Linked DNA regions of Tribolium castaneum. The protein of the gene in region 1 interacts with the protein of each later gene in a pairwise test. Links are inferred from orthologs where the notes say so. Each region holds a gene or a part of one and is shown in the gene's direction. Other genes may lie near its edges.

Region 1 (7,733 bases):
AAATTTTCTTAAGTTATTCAACTTACAACAAAAAATATATCGTTTAAGTTTGAACTTTCCTCTTTAAACTGGCGAAAATTTTACTTTTAAGTGAATTTTCGTCAGAAAAATAAAATTACTTATTTAAAAAACTGGCAATAATAATTTAGTAATGCAATGAAATTTTAGGTGTTTTATTAAAAAAACTTAAATTTGTATTGTAGCAAATTTCGTAAAGACCCTGTATCCTTGAAAATAATTTTAGGTGAGTCAGGGGGTTAATATTACGAGGAAATAATAATTTCATGTTCTGTATGTATGTTCTGTGGCCGCTTTGAAGTGGTTACACTGTAGTTGTTATTATTTTTTCTGAGTTGTTTGGTAAAAATGTAGAATTGTTGGTAAAAATAACCGTCTGGCCCGTTCGTAACTTTTGTACTTTCCGATTGGTAGTCATAAACATGTCATTCAACAAAACCCAACACGCCCCTGTCTGTTGGATTAGGTCTTCGCTAATAATAAAAATACAAACTACCCTCAGTGTGTGAGTTTTCTTCCGAGAATCGGTCTTTTAACCTCGCTTCCTTCTCTCTCAATCTTGAGAAAAAGCCAATTTCCGTCTCGCTTTTTGAAAGCAGCAGGGCCAACTGTCTGCCCGTAATTATACAGGGACGCGAGTAAATTACCTGTGGCCTTTATCACGTATTTATTAGTACCAGGAAATGGGTTCAAGCCGGGGTGCGGTGAATTTTCCAAATATGCATTACAACGAATTGAATTTTCCACTGGACGCTTTCTGACCATTCGATATTTTCATATTTGAATATTTCTCCCCGTTCGGAATTCTTCAATAATTTCATTTCCGCGTTTGATATTCGCCGCCAACTTGACAATTATTTACACAATCATCAATCAATGACAGATAGCGTAATCTCAGTGTAGCGGCAATAATTCGTCCCGTAGTATACACCTGTCAAAAATTATTGCATTTGTTTGTCGGTTTGGTACCGCTGGTACCGTCGAGGGTCAGCAACCGCGGTACCACTGGCTGCCTCTGGGCTTCAAAGAACTTGTGCCGCCCGCCATTCAGGCCCCCTTGCGTCCCGCGCGCATTCTGTACCGTTCGACAGATGTGAGCCAGGACCGGCTCTCGGAAAAGTGACCAACCCTTCTGGTTTCACCAGAACGGGGTCCGGGCTTTCCTTTGTGTGCCCGTTCTGACCCCTGTTTGTTTGTTTTTTTTTTCGTTTACAATTTTATCATTTAGGCCAAAATGTTGTCGTTGTTTAATAACGAACACGAAGAGCAATACTATAGTTTTTTATTTGCAACGTTTCGACGAGGGCCGTTGTCATCTTCAGGCGATGCGTTTGTCGTTTGTTTTATTATTAATTGATAACGCGTCACGTGGGGTTCTATAAGAAAGTCGGTGATTGGCTGGCCGAGGGTGAAACGTGTGCGTGACGCGAGGGAAAATCCTGAAAGTTTTCCCGCGATTTCAGTTTCCAGTTGGCGGTTTTCCCTCGAAGGTGATTGTGTTTTGTCAAGTGATGCCTGGTTGTTTGCGAAGGTATCGCGACTTTTTCGAGTTTAATTAAAACAAGGGGCAAGACCGGCTCTGGCTCAAGACATTCTCTTCCAGCAGACGTCGGTTGAAGCAAAACCTGCATTACTTACATACTTTATACCGAGCCATTATAACGTTTTTATGAACGCAGACGTGCACTTTAATTAATTCACGGTTTGACGAATTTTTTTTAAAATATCACATTTAGCTTAGTTAGTTAATTACAACAAAGTACACGATATATCATCAATTTCCAAAATCGAATGGACTTTCGGACTGTCCTAACAATCCGAAAAAGGTTGTGATTATTATTAGAGATATTGGCTTTTTCTTTTTTTAATTACTGGTAATAGCTGTGTCATTGCTACATATTTTAAAATTATTGCGGTATAAAGGCTGATTCAAAAGTGACGGACAAACTCTAAAAGACGTTCATTTAGTCAGTTTTTTTTCAAGTAACTTAATTTTGACATATTTTTTTAATTTGTTTTCTTTAGCAACGGTAGCGATTTTCGTTTTATATGACGCCGAAATTAATTTATTGTCAAATTTTCAAGACATCATAACATTAATTGTTGATTTTTTTCAATAGGTATTTGTTCAATTTTTAAAGAGCCGTCGTTTCAGCTAACCAAAGTCAAAAAAATATGATCTGAAGCACCAAAAATAATTTTTTGTCATAGGAACTTTCAATTCAGTTTGATGTCCTTTATCAGCACCCGAGAAATTGTCCGGTACTTTTGAATCACTGCGTATATACTGGTAAAATTTAAAAAACACTAAAGTTATATTTTTTTAAATGGGACACCTTAAATTTTATTGCATTTTTGGACGTAGTTTTTAATACTGATGATTTTGATCTAAACTTGTATTGATCGATTTTGCTTAGTTTTTGAAATTTTAATTTGTATTTTACCGAAAACACGCCTTTTGCAAAAAGTATTACACAAAAACTAGGAATAATAGAAAAGTAGGAATTCTACCACTTTAAAGAAAAAAGTTCAGACTTAAATATGTTAAATTGTTTAGCGCATTTGCAATTAGGAACGTATAAAAATTAAGAAAATTATTAGAACTTGAATAATTTGAAAAACTTAAAGAAACACCCTATTTTTGTTTTTGCGTCTCAAAGGTTATTAAATTTTCTATCTAATAACAAAGTTTTAAATGCCTAAACTTAATAACTAAAAAGATATTTGAGTTTAAAAGGTACTGAAACAACAGTTAATGTTTTTTTTAATGTTTAAAGTTAAATATTTTATGAGTAATCAGCAAGAAAGACAATTTAAAGGTCTTCTAGATGCAATAATATTAAAAATTAGTTATTCAATTTGCAACAAACCTCTTAATTTTTTTATCTTCTTGATTGTAGGAAGCTAAAAAAATGTACCCTTTAAATTTGAATTTTTTTCTTTAAAATGGTGAATTTTCTATTTTTCTAAAGTTCCTAGTTTTTATGTATTTTTTTAAACTTATTTTCATCAAAAAAATAAAGTATTTAAAAATTTGAACAAAATCGACCAATAACAATTTAGCTTAAATGTATAACACTGTGAAAAGCTACATCCAAAAATGCAAAAAATTAGGGTGTTTCTAAAGAACAACTTTAGCGCGTTTTTTTTTTTTTTAATATTGAGACACCTGTATATAAAGTGCAATAATTTTAAAATATGCAGCAAAAACCTCCAAAAAAAAAAAGAAAAATCGTTGGAACAGTTTGTATGTTCACATTTTTTTACCGTTAAAATTTCCCCGAGAATAATCGGTAATTCCCCCGGTTTTTGTGAAAAGCCGTCAAGATTTTTTCTAGCCTTGCGAGCCGTAGTTTTGTTTTTCACGCCGCTTAAAATTAAGTGGTTATAACTTAAAATGCCGTTAAATTATACACTAACATGGCCCTTCTCACCCCTATAATAACACGGTACGATTTCGACGGCGTTCGCTTTAATTAATACCTTCACACCAGTTCAAAGCGGAAAAAATAAAACATAAACTTGGCCACAACCGATCAATTTTGTATTATTTTTGTGATTAATTGTGCGACATAAACGCAAAGTCCGAACATGATGTGGTTATGCAACCGTGTACACACGCATGCGTCACTGGTTGCATAACCCGCAATACAATTTAAATAAAAATTAATTATTTAAAAGTTTGAAACGATAATTACACAAAAACAACATTACCGTAATGCCAATCATTTGGCCCGTGGTTGTTGTTAATTTCAAGGCCTTGCTATGTAAGGGGGCTGCGTTATAACCACTTTACGTGGTGACAATGGCAATTAATTTTTTAAATGTTTAATTATGCAAAATTTGTTTCTTTTGTCTCAAATCTTGTGCCCTTGTGACTTCCTGACGGCGTTCCAGCCCCTGCATGCCCCTCATTATGCGTCGATTGCTCACAAAAGCCTTTGGCTTTTTTTAAGATGTGGTCCAATCGATCGATGGTGCCTCCAACCACTCTCATTTCTCTCTCTATTTCCATGGCAATATCTGGCTTAAGTAATAAAAATGAGCCTTAGGACTGTTGTGAAAAAGGATCTGGTGGCTTGAAAAGAGCGTGGAGCCCCCTTTTGTCTAATGAGTCATCGATCGAAGGAACTCTTAGGACTTTATCCAGTTGTTCATTGCAGCATTTGAACATTTCCTATTCGCCTGTCCATCATAACGGACGCTTCGGGTCTGATTTAAGTGGCAGCTGAATGCGATATTAATAAAATAAAAATAATTTTTTCGTAATAATAGGATAAGGGGTGTATTGTGTGTTTAGTGCCGTTTCATAATAATATTTCAGTGGGGCTCCCCGTTGATGAAATGCGGTATGTTTTGCATGGTTTGGCTGTTTCGTTCGCCTGATTGCGTTCTAGCCGAAATTACATCATGGTAAAGTGATGTAATTGGATATGACAGGTTTTGATTTTTTCCTACCTGAAATAAATCTTTTGTTTGGATTTATTAAATATGATTTAATATTTTCTAACCGGGGATCCATTACGAAATAATGCGAGCAGAAGAAATGAATAGGGCTGCGCATTGTATGGTTTTGTTCAGATGCTCTTCGGGTATTGATCGAAGAGTCTACCACTCCCCAAGGGGCACTCGCTCTAGCGTCCATATTTGAATTGTTCCACGATGCGGGGATTATCGGGAGGGGTCCACGGGCCCCCTAGACAATTTTTTTGTAAAAAAAAAATTTTTCGAAAAAAATTTTTTTTCAGTTTTCATGATGAATCCGAGGCGTTCCGCCCCCTGTAAGTGCCCCATCTCGCTCGGCTCGTATCGGGGGCCTCTCTCAACATGAACGACCGGGAAAAGAGCAGGTCCAGTGGCAAACAGCACATCTATGAAGGCACTTTCGACTACACTTTGCCGAGGCCCCCCGCATTGGGAGAGGAGAGAGCTTACAACGCGTCGGAGCGGGGGGCGCAGCCACTGCAGATGGACCGCAGGCACTACAAGTCTTCCTCTCCTGTTCCAAGTAACAAGCAGTTAATTATTAAAATTATTAAACAATTAAAAAAAAAATTTTTCAGAGTTTGATTTCGACGATGGTAGCAGTTACAGGCCTACTTCGCGGCCTTCGTCGCGCCACGGGAAACCGCCGGCCTACCTCGCATGGGCCGAATCGCTGCACAATCTGCTGCAGGATTCGGACGGTGTGAAATTATTCTTGCGTTACCTCGAATCGGAAGGGCCCCATCATGCCGACACGTTGCGCTTTTGGTTCGCTTGCGAAGGCTTGAAGAACCACGATCAAGTCGAAAATATACAAAAGTTGGTTAAATTGATCTACAAGTGAGTCCCGATTGGTGCATTTTTGGGTTTTGATTAGTATTTTTTTCAGAACGTATTTTTTGAAATCGGCCCTACAAATCAACGACGATCTGAAGAAACAAATAATGAGAAATTTAAAATCGCCCCAGTGCCTTGAACCACCCATTACTCTGTTCGACGAGGCCCAAGCACAAATCGAAAACCTTATCAATAAAACTACTTATCCCAACTTCCTCAAAAGCGACATCTATCTGCAATATGTCCAAGTAATTACGATTTCTAACATTTCTCACTCGAGATCACTAAGGTCAATATTAGGCAGTGGCGGATCTGGGATAAAATTTCTATTGAGCCGAAAAAATAATTTTAAATATTTTTAATTGTGTTAAGTGTTAATTCTAGCGTCCCGTTTTTCATGCATTTTTGTCATTTCACTGTCAAATATGATAGGAATCATAGTTGGCTATGTCATTTTCGAAAAACTTATTTTTTTCTGAACTGAAAGCAATATAAATACAATTTGACATTTTAATATACTTTTGATAAAAAATATATTTATAATATTTGAAAGTAGTTGGCCATGGAAAAATTATTTCACATAAAAGGTGTGAATAATCTAGAAATTTTGTGAACGGTTATTAAAGTAAAAAATGTGAAAATATAAAAATAAACTATGTTATAGTTATTTTCAATTGAACAAATATACGATCATCGCAAATGTTAATTAAAAAAAAAATGTGCAGAAAATTAAAAACGATGTGATACTACCATTTTTCACACTTTTTTGATTTAGTGACGTGACGTTGATAATGTTGATTAATTTTGGTGTTTGGATCGACATTTCTTTATTAAGGAAATCATACAATTAAGATTTTTTTTTCAGACATTTCATGTTTAATTAGAAAATAGAATGACAGAGCTTGCCATTTTAAACCTAAAAACAAACAATTTTTTAGTCGCAAAAATTTGATGTAATAATAATTTATTATGCTGTTTTTGATTTAATTACTGTTTAAAAAATCATTAAATTATAAATACTTACTGGATAATACATTTTTTAAAGTTTGAATTGAAAATCCAAATTTTTGTTGCCCACAAAAAAGAAAAAGAGAATTGTTATGTTTTATTTTAATTATTTAAAAATAATGTATTACACAAATAAACAGATTAAATCAGAAAAAAAAATAACTTTTCGAAAATGTCTTACAACTTATTTTCTTTCAATGTATTTTAATTCACATTTTTATTCTTCCTCGTTGTTTATGATGTAAGTTCTATTTCCAATTTATCGTTTTTCGTCGCTGACTAAGTTATAAGTTTTTTTGGCGTTTTTTTTGCAAAGACAATCAAGACATCATTTTTCATTTTGGTTTGGAATCCATTTAAATGACCGCTCACAACAGCGAAACCAATTTTTTTATAATCTTGTGGTTCCAATATTTGGTTAAATCACCCTAATGTTTAAATTGCATTTTATTATGCATTGTATTAATTTTTCTACCCAATAGTCGGTCGAGAATGCGAGCAGCGACGACTTCAACAGCGAATCGAGCTCTTCCAGCAGTTCCCTCAGTAACAAAGACTTGGGGAACTTGGCCAGCGGTTTGGGCCCCCTTCCCACGCTCCACGAAGGCATGGAATTCAGTCTCAACACCCAGCAGCCCGTCATCCTAACGCCAGGTGCACCAACACTCAAAATCTAATTATTTTTTCACAAATCAGCACTGTCTAGGTGCAGCCAGTGTCAGTACGGGTTATCACACGCCAACAGTTCGCCTCACCAAAGACATGCTCCTCCGATCTCAAAAGCATCGCGCTCTCGACATCCGCCCCAAATCCGAGACCTATGCTGGGTGAGTACCGTGCAAGCAAATTTTTATTTTCACAACACGCTTTAAGCTTGGTTTCTTTTTATTTTCTCCGTTTTGTTTTTGCGTGTGATTGCGTAGTTTGATATACCGAAGCAGTGGGGCTCACGTCGCATACAATTCCTACAACCCGGTCTCGAGGCAAGATAGCGAAATGCAGTCGCTTAGTAGTCATTCAGATGCGAGGACCGAATCGGACAATATGTCCTTAAATGAGAGCAATGTGTGAGTATTGAATCAAGGGGGCGATATTTGCGGGCGCATGTCCCGAAATTTTGGTTTTGGTGGCGGGGACTAATCCTGAACTCTAACAAGGGTGATTAACAATGAGGATGGAAAGTTTGAGGCGAATTTTGAGTATTTGTATTAGAAAAGTGAGGTTTTGTCACTTTTGAATTTTCACGCTGATTGTTTAAAAAAACGTAAAAGAGTAAATATTTAAAATTGTTACCAGCCGATCAATTGGGGGCACGTTTCTGGACACAAAACCACTAATTATGTTTTTTGTTCTATTTTTGTCGGCAAACTTAAAACTTTGGACGT
Region 2 (7,733 bases), on another chromosome or scaffold:
GCACGCATCGACTACAAACCAGACGATCCACCACTTGTTTTCCAATCGAGGAATTTTGATTTGTGTCTGACACGAGGAATAACCCACTAACAATTTGTCACAAGCTTATTACGAGTAAAATTTTGACGAGGACGTCTGTTTGCAGTTTTTGCTGTCGAGAATGTCTCTACCACATTGTAGCACCAATCACCAAAGAATACGTGTAAGTGGCTTTGGTTACTTGCCGTCATTCAATTAAAAAACGCTTGTGCGATGTGTGTTTTTGAAAATTATTGTGTTACAACGAGTGCATGTGTTGTTTGTTGTGAAAGTGACAGTTTTGGTCATCATCTACGTGTTTGAAATTAATTATCTTGAAATGAAATTGGCAGGGGAAAAATTAAATCTGTTGGGAAGAGACTAGATTTATTGCTTGATGGAGGATGCAACACATCAAAGTGTCACGCACAAGGGAACGCCCTTTTGTGGGTTTTACTTAACGCGTAATTTTTTGATTAAAGAGAAGTGAATTCATTCATTCAGTCCTGCGAGGGAACGAAATTTCAATGTTTATTACAGTGCTTGTTAATAACGTATTCGGTAGAAATGACTGTCTCATATTTTTTTATAGGAATTGGAATAAAAGTCACTTTTTCTGTGACACAACATTATGTAGAAGAAAGTAAAAGTTAATCAGTCGTTCATTGCATAATTAAAATAATCACGTCAAATTTGGCAGTTCAAAAATAAAAAACGGAACGATAATGAACTCTTCTTACAGTTGTGTCTATTCCAAATAATAAATAAAAGTTAAACATTGATAACAATTATATTTCTGCATGTCATGTTTATTTTTTCTGGTCGTCAACTCTGCTTTTTTAATTCCAAACAACACATTACATAATTTTGTATTTTGTAATGAAACTACTTACAGACTGTTCAAAAGAAATTTATTCAAATTATCATTTATTTTTTGTATCGTTTATGTGCGAATCAAATTAATTGCTTTCTATTTTTAAAGATGTTTCAGACAATGTACAGCAAAGAAATATTTCAGAAACAGCAAAAAAATCACAAAACTCAGTTTACATATTTACGTTATTTGAGCCAGTTCAGAATTTTTTTTGTTCTTGGGCTCACTTATTTCAAGAAACTTGGATAAAAGTATGTAAATAGCCGATTTATTTTAAATTAAATTTATTTATATTTTTTCTTATTTCAACATTTGCTTGAAACAAGCCAAGCTAAGTCACTGACAAATTACGTTATCTCAGTGGTTAGATGGTTTTTGAACCAGAAACTTTGCGAGATTTGAGACTAAAAACACCAAAAACTGTGCCTTCGTTACGTTATTTCAGGCAGTCCTAAGACCTCTAGCTCACATTTGAGCCAGAAATTCATTTATTTCAACAAATTTTGTCGAAATTAAACAAATCTCCGAATTATGGGTGATTTTAAAACTTTTTTGTGGCGAGTTTTTATTAAATGTATTCTCTTTGTATTTCAAAAAAAAGTTTGAAACAAGCCAAACATTTGCAAAACTACGTGATCTCAAACATTTTTCAGCGATTAGATTAAACAGGCTAAAGTCACCAGCTTAGTCTGAGCCACCTTATTTCAGTCAGTTTTCAATGATTTAGTTTATTCTTGAGCTAGAAACTCACTTATGTCACGAAATTTTGCCGAAAAAAGTAAATAAATTGCCGAATAAGGTCTAAATTATGTCGTTTTAACCATTTTTAAGCGATTTAATTCGTAAGTAAACTTTTTTCTAACGTGGCTTTAATTGTTTTTTCTTTATTTATTTATCCCCTTTTGGCTCCCGAAATATCTGCCCAAATTAGAGATGCGCTCATTTATTATTCTAATAGTTTTTTCAACAAATACGAAAGGATTAAATTGATTTAGTTGCAAGTATTTTTTTTTAATATCTGGGAATAATTTGGCAATGTAACGTCGAAGTTTGACCGTACTTTTGTTGAGTTATTGTCTTAAATGTAAAGGGCATAGAAATTTGATTCATTATTTCAAATTAAATTCTTGCGGAATTGGTAGAACAAACTGTAATGAAATGCTTTCCTTTTTGGTGAATTGTGCCATTGTTAATAATTTTTGGAATTGTTTAAATGGATTGGTTATTCACTAACAATTCATAAATAAAACGTAGATATTCATGGGTGTTTGGGAGTTTGAAAGATTCAATAATAAAATAAGTTTTGGTCGTAGCATTTTGTCATTTATTTTATCAATAAGGCAGTTTTTTGCAATCGCACGAAAGGTTTAGCCCGCCGTTGCGTGCTTCTGTATGTGACACATGCTCCAAAAAAGCGTATACATAAATAAAACAGTTGTGTAACGTCACTATGTCAATCGTATTGTATCGGCATTGATTCCAATTAGAAAAAAAAAATGTTTAAAATTGTATCGATAGGTATTCCGAGCACGGACTCCCCCAGAAGCGATCGAGTTAGTGGCCAGACTTTTGGAGTACACTCCTTCATCACGGATCAGTCCATTGCAGGCTTGTGCTCACGCATTCTTCAACGAGCTCCGGGACCCCAACACCCGCTTGCCCACAAATAAAGAACTGCCCCCTCTATTCAACTTCACGGAACAAGGTGATTTAATTGGGGGAGAGTGAGAGTTGGTGGTAATTAGCTGGTTGCAGAGTTGAGTATTCAACCTTCATTGAATTCCATTCTGATACCGCGAGGGGTGCAGGAGGCCGCCAACAGTCCGCAAGACGGGGCCGCGTCGTCGGGGGCGACGGACGCCGCCGACACGACGGCAGCCCCCGTGCAAGCGACCGCCGCCGGAATACCTTAAGTAGTTCAATCCTCCAAGGGAAGGGCCCCTTTCGCTCGTCCCATTTCTCCCTTTATCTAGTAAGCGATCTGTGTGAGATTGTTGATTGGGACAGCTGTACTATATTTAATATACGTGCGTTTGTACAGAATTTGATTAGTTGTTTGTAGGCGTTTGTGTTAATGCCCTTTTGTTTTAGCGCGTTCATTTTTACAAATTTTGTTGCGTTTGAGTTGCATTGAAAAATCTGGTGTCGCACCAATCACAATATATGTACATATTATTTATACATAAAAACATTTGTAAATTTTAAGTAGGTTTAGTTGAATGATTACTTTAGTTTGTTTTTGGAACCGTTGGAACAGATTTTTCAATGAGCATATTTGTATTACCAGACATAAATTCGTATATTTTTAAACAAGGCAAAATAAGTTATTGATTAACGTAGATCTTCTTGGTGATTTTCATCGTTATATTAGTGGTTTTAACATAATTTACTTACGCAAAGCATTTGGTGTTAATTATTTAAGGTTATTCGTTTTGGTATGAGTAGTAATTGTATAACAACCTGACATCGCGATAAAATCCAGGACCGTAGAGTAAAACAGTTGGTGTGAATTGATATGAGTATACAAACGAGAAAGATATTTAATCTTGAAATATTGTGTACTTCTAGCTTACGCTTTAGAAAAAATGAGTGAAACATTACAACGTAGAATTATCCTAATGATCGTACTAGCTTACGAAGTGCAATGCGTTAACATTTCTGAACACGCCTCCAAGAAACTAGGACAATTATTATTAGTTTCCATAGATGTGCACTATCTACGGTTTGGAGTTATTTTTTAAACGCAAGATTATGTGCAAAGTGTGTTATTTTGACATAGCCAAATTAATAATTTAATTTAAGGTAAAAGCACACTCTCCCTTCTCCCGCTCCTCGACACCCCTCCAACAATCGCAATATTAAAATAAAACATTATAATGACAGTTAACTCAATTTCGATGTTTCCTAAAATGCGAATAAATCATCTGAATAAGCGACTTTTTCATTTCAAGCCCTCTCGTTGCAACAGTCGGGTGTGCTTGTACCTTAAGTGGTTACAGGTGAAGTTTTAGACATTTGGCCCCACTTGGGGGCCAGTCACAGTTTCAGGTCTTCACGTGAAGTCGGCGATCTTTCAGTGGAGAGGATTAAATGTCTAGAATTTTAAACGAATGACTTCTACGCTAGTAGTATTTATGACTGTGTCGGTTAGTTAAAGAGTGAGACTCACCTTGGAATAGTCTGTCTGTCGCCCCAATTGTTATGTAAATATCTTGTTTTATGAAAATTTTGTGATTTCCATAGATGCAAGTGCTCTAGAGTAGAAGGTCAAAACATAACATATCAAAATATTTTTTATGAGTAATTAGTTGAGTTTAGTTGCGTTCGGGCGCCCCGAATTAGTCAGGACAGAGTTTATTTTATTTATGATTAATTATATGATTTGATTGAAATGTATACTTTTCTCTACCAAGTGAGATTGGAACCAGCTTTGTGTTAGAATATGCATTCTATGAATGCACTTCATTGTTGTACCATGAACTAAAAGTGCGCCCTTCCTGAGGCCAGCCTAGCGGCAGCATTTTTCCTTCATGTTGTCATGTGTAGCATCTAGCGAACTGAAGCAATTGTAAATAACGGTAATTTTGCAGGCAATAAGCGGAGCTCTTGGACGCACTTTAAGAATTGCTTCACGTTTGCTTAGGGCTGTCTTTATTGCCTTGGAAAATTCGAGTAGACGAAATAATCTCCTGCACAGCTTATCTAGACACGAAATCGAATGGTTGCTTCGGTTTTATGCGTACTTTCATTCTGGACAACCAAATATACTCCTCGAGGCCCGCTCAGTGTGCAGGTTTTCAAAATTTTCGGCAAACTAGTGTAAATTTGTAAATACGCTTTTACAACATGTTCAACACTCGCGAAATGTAACCAGGTTATGTTTGGTTGGTCCTGTGCTGTTCTTAGAACTCCTAACTATGTCGTTTTATTTAGAGTTTTAGGCGGATTATATTTCAAATTTCTTTCAGCTCAATGTTTTACGCTGTATATATCTCGCTTATTATATGTAAACTTGACACTGGAATATGCAATATATACCATGAATATTTAAAATATAAAGAAAGTATTAAAAGTTTATTGCTCGTAATTTAACCCAACAATACTTTTTTCATCAAGTAGGCGCGAGGGGGGCGCAACTCCTCGCCGTCTTCGACGCACTTCGTCGAACACAAATACTGCAGCAAGGGCAGTCGGTACTTCCCACAGAAATCGACAAATTTCACGTGCTCCACGCGACTGTTAAAAAACACACCTGCAACAAAATAGTTAATAATACGAGAGCGAAAACACAAGTTCGAGGGCTGTCGTTATGCTACGAGCGTAAACGAGTCGCATACATAGACACTCGATAACTTTAAGCGTTTTCGCATAATTTTTTTTGTTGGAACATTTTAACTTAAAACACGTGGGAAGCGTGCTTTAAAATCTAGGATTCAGGTTATTTTTAATAAAGCCTTCTTTTAAAGACATTAAACAACTCACCTTTGCAATACGGGTTGACGCAATGGTGGGCCGAATCCAAATAATTCAATAAACTGGCCGGAATATCGCCCTTTTCGACCCGCATTTGGTGCAGTTTTATCACACGAGCCGACAATTCTTTCAGACTAGCCGTGTTATGTTTTATGTTACTCACAAAACGGACAACCAGGGGGTTATCACGGAGACTCAGCTGTGACGATCGAATTTTATTTTTACACAAAGATGATTTATTTGTTACCTCAGTCAAATTTTTCAGCGCGATTATTTCAGGCGGCAAAGTGCGCAGTTTGTTTTTGTGCAACTGGAGCGACTTCAAGTTGTGCAAATTGGCGATATTTGACGGCAAACTCTCGATTAAGTTATCGCAAAGCACCAAAGCCTGCAGTTGCTTCAGTTGGCCTAGAGTTGAAGGAACTTCCACTAATTGATTGCCACCCATCGACAAGATTTGAAGGCTGCAATCATTATCACGTGTGGTCGTTTTAGTCGTCCCCACTTACCAGTTTAATTTCTTTATGTTTTTCGGTATTGTTTTAATTTTATTCCCTCCTAGGTACAGGTACTTTAAATTAGTAAACTCAAACAGTTGTTCGGGAAACTGTTCGAAAACATTCCCGCTCAGGTTTAGCTCCCGCAAGCTCGCACTCTCTGCGAAACTTTTCGGGAGGGATTCGTTACTGAAGCGATTATTTTTCGCAACCAGTGTTGTTAAATGCCAGTACTCGAAAACATCAGGTAAGGCCGTAAGGCCGTTGTTGCTGATATCGAGGACTTGGACGTTTGTGAATTTTGCCAAATTTTTGGGGAGCGTTGTGAGTTGGTTGTGGTGCAAAATAATCGACTCGATGTCCTCTCGCTTCGTGCAGTCCTTGCCTAGTTCGTTCAGATTTTCTTCCAGTTGTTGCGAATCCAAAAGCAAATAGGCGAAGTCGAACACTTTGTTTCCATTTGTATCACTGTCACTGCTGTAATTCTCCATAGTTGCACTCACGTTCAATGGCAAATTGTAACTAATGGGGGCATGACTTGAGCAGCTCTGATTATGATAACTCCGTTTGAACTGTGGGCTGCGATTAGGAGAACGCTGCGTTCAAGCGAAGCTAAGGTCAAACGTGTTATCACCAATTTGTGAACAAAGCGTGGTGAGGCGTTATTTTAACAATGAGTCTGGGAACGGAATTGTGTGGTTTTATCGAGTGTGCTGGTTTCGGGGGAAACCCCTGAGCAACACCCTACGCCCATGACTAGGTAATGATAATTTATTAAATAGCTGACCCTTGTGTGTATTGTTTCGGTTCGCCGAACGTGCATATACAGATAAGTCGCACCAAAACATTATTTTGGGTAAAAATTGTGCAATGGAAAAAAATCGTTATGGATATTGCACGTTATGTTTTTTGCGGTAGTAATAATTACACAAGCGTCTAGGTACACCAACATTGCAGAGCTGTAGGCATGCGTATTCATGCATTTGCCACCGTTTGAAATCAAATTTCATTCCAAACATTTCTTTTGTTTCTTTTTCACACTTCTTGTCTGCAAATTTCCAAAAAGTGTTACAACTAATACTATACATGGGTTCAGCTCGGTTTGCGTGTGGGGATGAGCTTTTTCTCTTTGCTACTGATGCTTAGATGACTAAAAATTCAGTCACAAGTGTGCAAACAAATAGTATTAGCGTCTATAAGAAGATAATATGTCGAAAAACTACATTACATTTACCATAGCTTTGCAAAAATTGTTTAAAATAGCGAGGCACACGCAAACCGTTGTGAGCGGACCCATACCTAATTTATCCCTGATTCTGTAATGTTGGCTTCAAATTTTCGCAGAAGATTTTTTGACTAATGTTTAGACGAGAGTTTTTTAGAACACGAGCGACTGTTAATATTTATAATTTAACGAATGTAATGTGTCTTGTTATACACGAATCGAATACTATATACTATATAGTATAATACTATAGCTTCTGCGTTGGCTACTGTTTGTAGCAAATCATTAAAAAAAAATTAAAAACCACATCAATCAAAAATTTTTATTTGCATGAAAGTTACAACAAGCGACTTCTTTTTTACAAAATAAAGAACACATAGCAAAATACAATAAGTAGCACTCAAAATATTATAAATTCAAGAATTCACTCAATTGGAAAAAATGCACCTACCCTTATGTGGCTTCTGCGTTGGCTACTGTTTGTAGCAAAACATTAAAGTGAAATTAAAAACAACACTAATAAAAATCTTTATTTGCATAAAAACTACAAGAGACATAATTTTACGGCTGTAAAAATCAATCAGCAATTCTTATTATATTTAAGGATTGCTCTAATTGGTTAAATTAGTTAATAACTAATTAGTTA

What was found.
Region 2: the proteins of Axn (region 1) and sgg interact in a two-hybrid assay, tested with the Drosophila melanogaster proteins (2 studies listed by BioGRID, with this or other methods). The link is inferred for Tribolium castaneum from reciprocal best matches to the Drosophila melanogaster genes Axn and sgg.

The regions. Positions count from the first base shown.
Region 1 is NC_087399.1:7,267,303-7,275,035, reverse strand, and holds part of Axn (axis inhibition protein), read left to right. Parts: intron 1-3,830; exon of another isoform or gene 3,831-4,476; intron 4,477-4,529; exon of another isoform or gene 4,530-4,766; 5' UTR 4,767-4,845; coding exon 4,846-5,026; intron 5,027-5,081; coding exon 5,082-5,343; intron 5,344-5,392; coding exon 5,393-5,588; intron 5,589-6,830; coding exon 6,831-7,002; intron 7,003-7,054; coding exon 7,055-7,175; intron 7,176-7,271; coding exon 7,272-7,415; intron 7,416-7,641; exon of another isoform or gene 7,642-7,733.
Region 2 is NC_087402.1:5,770,610-5,778,342, forward strand, and holds the end of sgg (glycogen synthase kinase-3 beta), read left to right. Parts: intron 1-145; coding exon 146-202; intron 203-2,410; coding exon 2,411-2,597; intron 2,598-2,647; coding exon 2,648-2,805; 3' UTR 2,806-4,967; downstream 4,968-7,733. Other genes in the region: leucine-rich repeat-containing protein 58, read right to left, coding at 4,981-5,144, 5,375-5,564, 5,613-5,829, 5,875-6,353.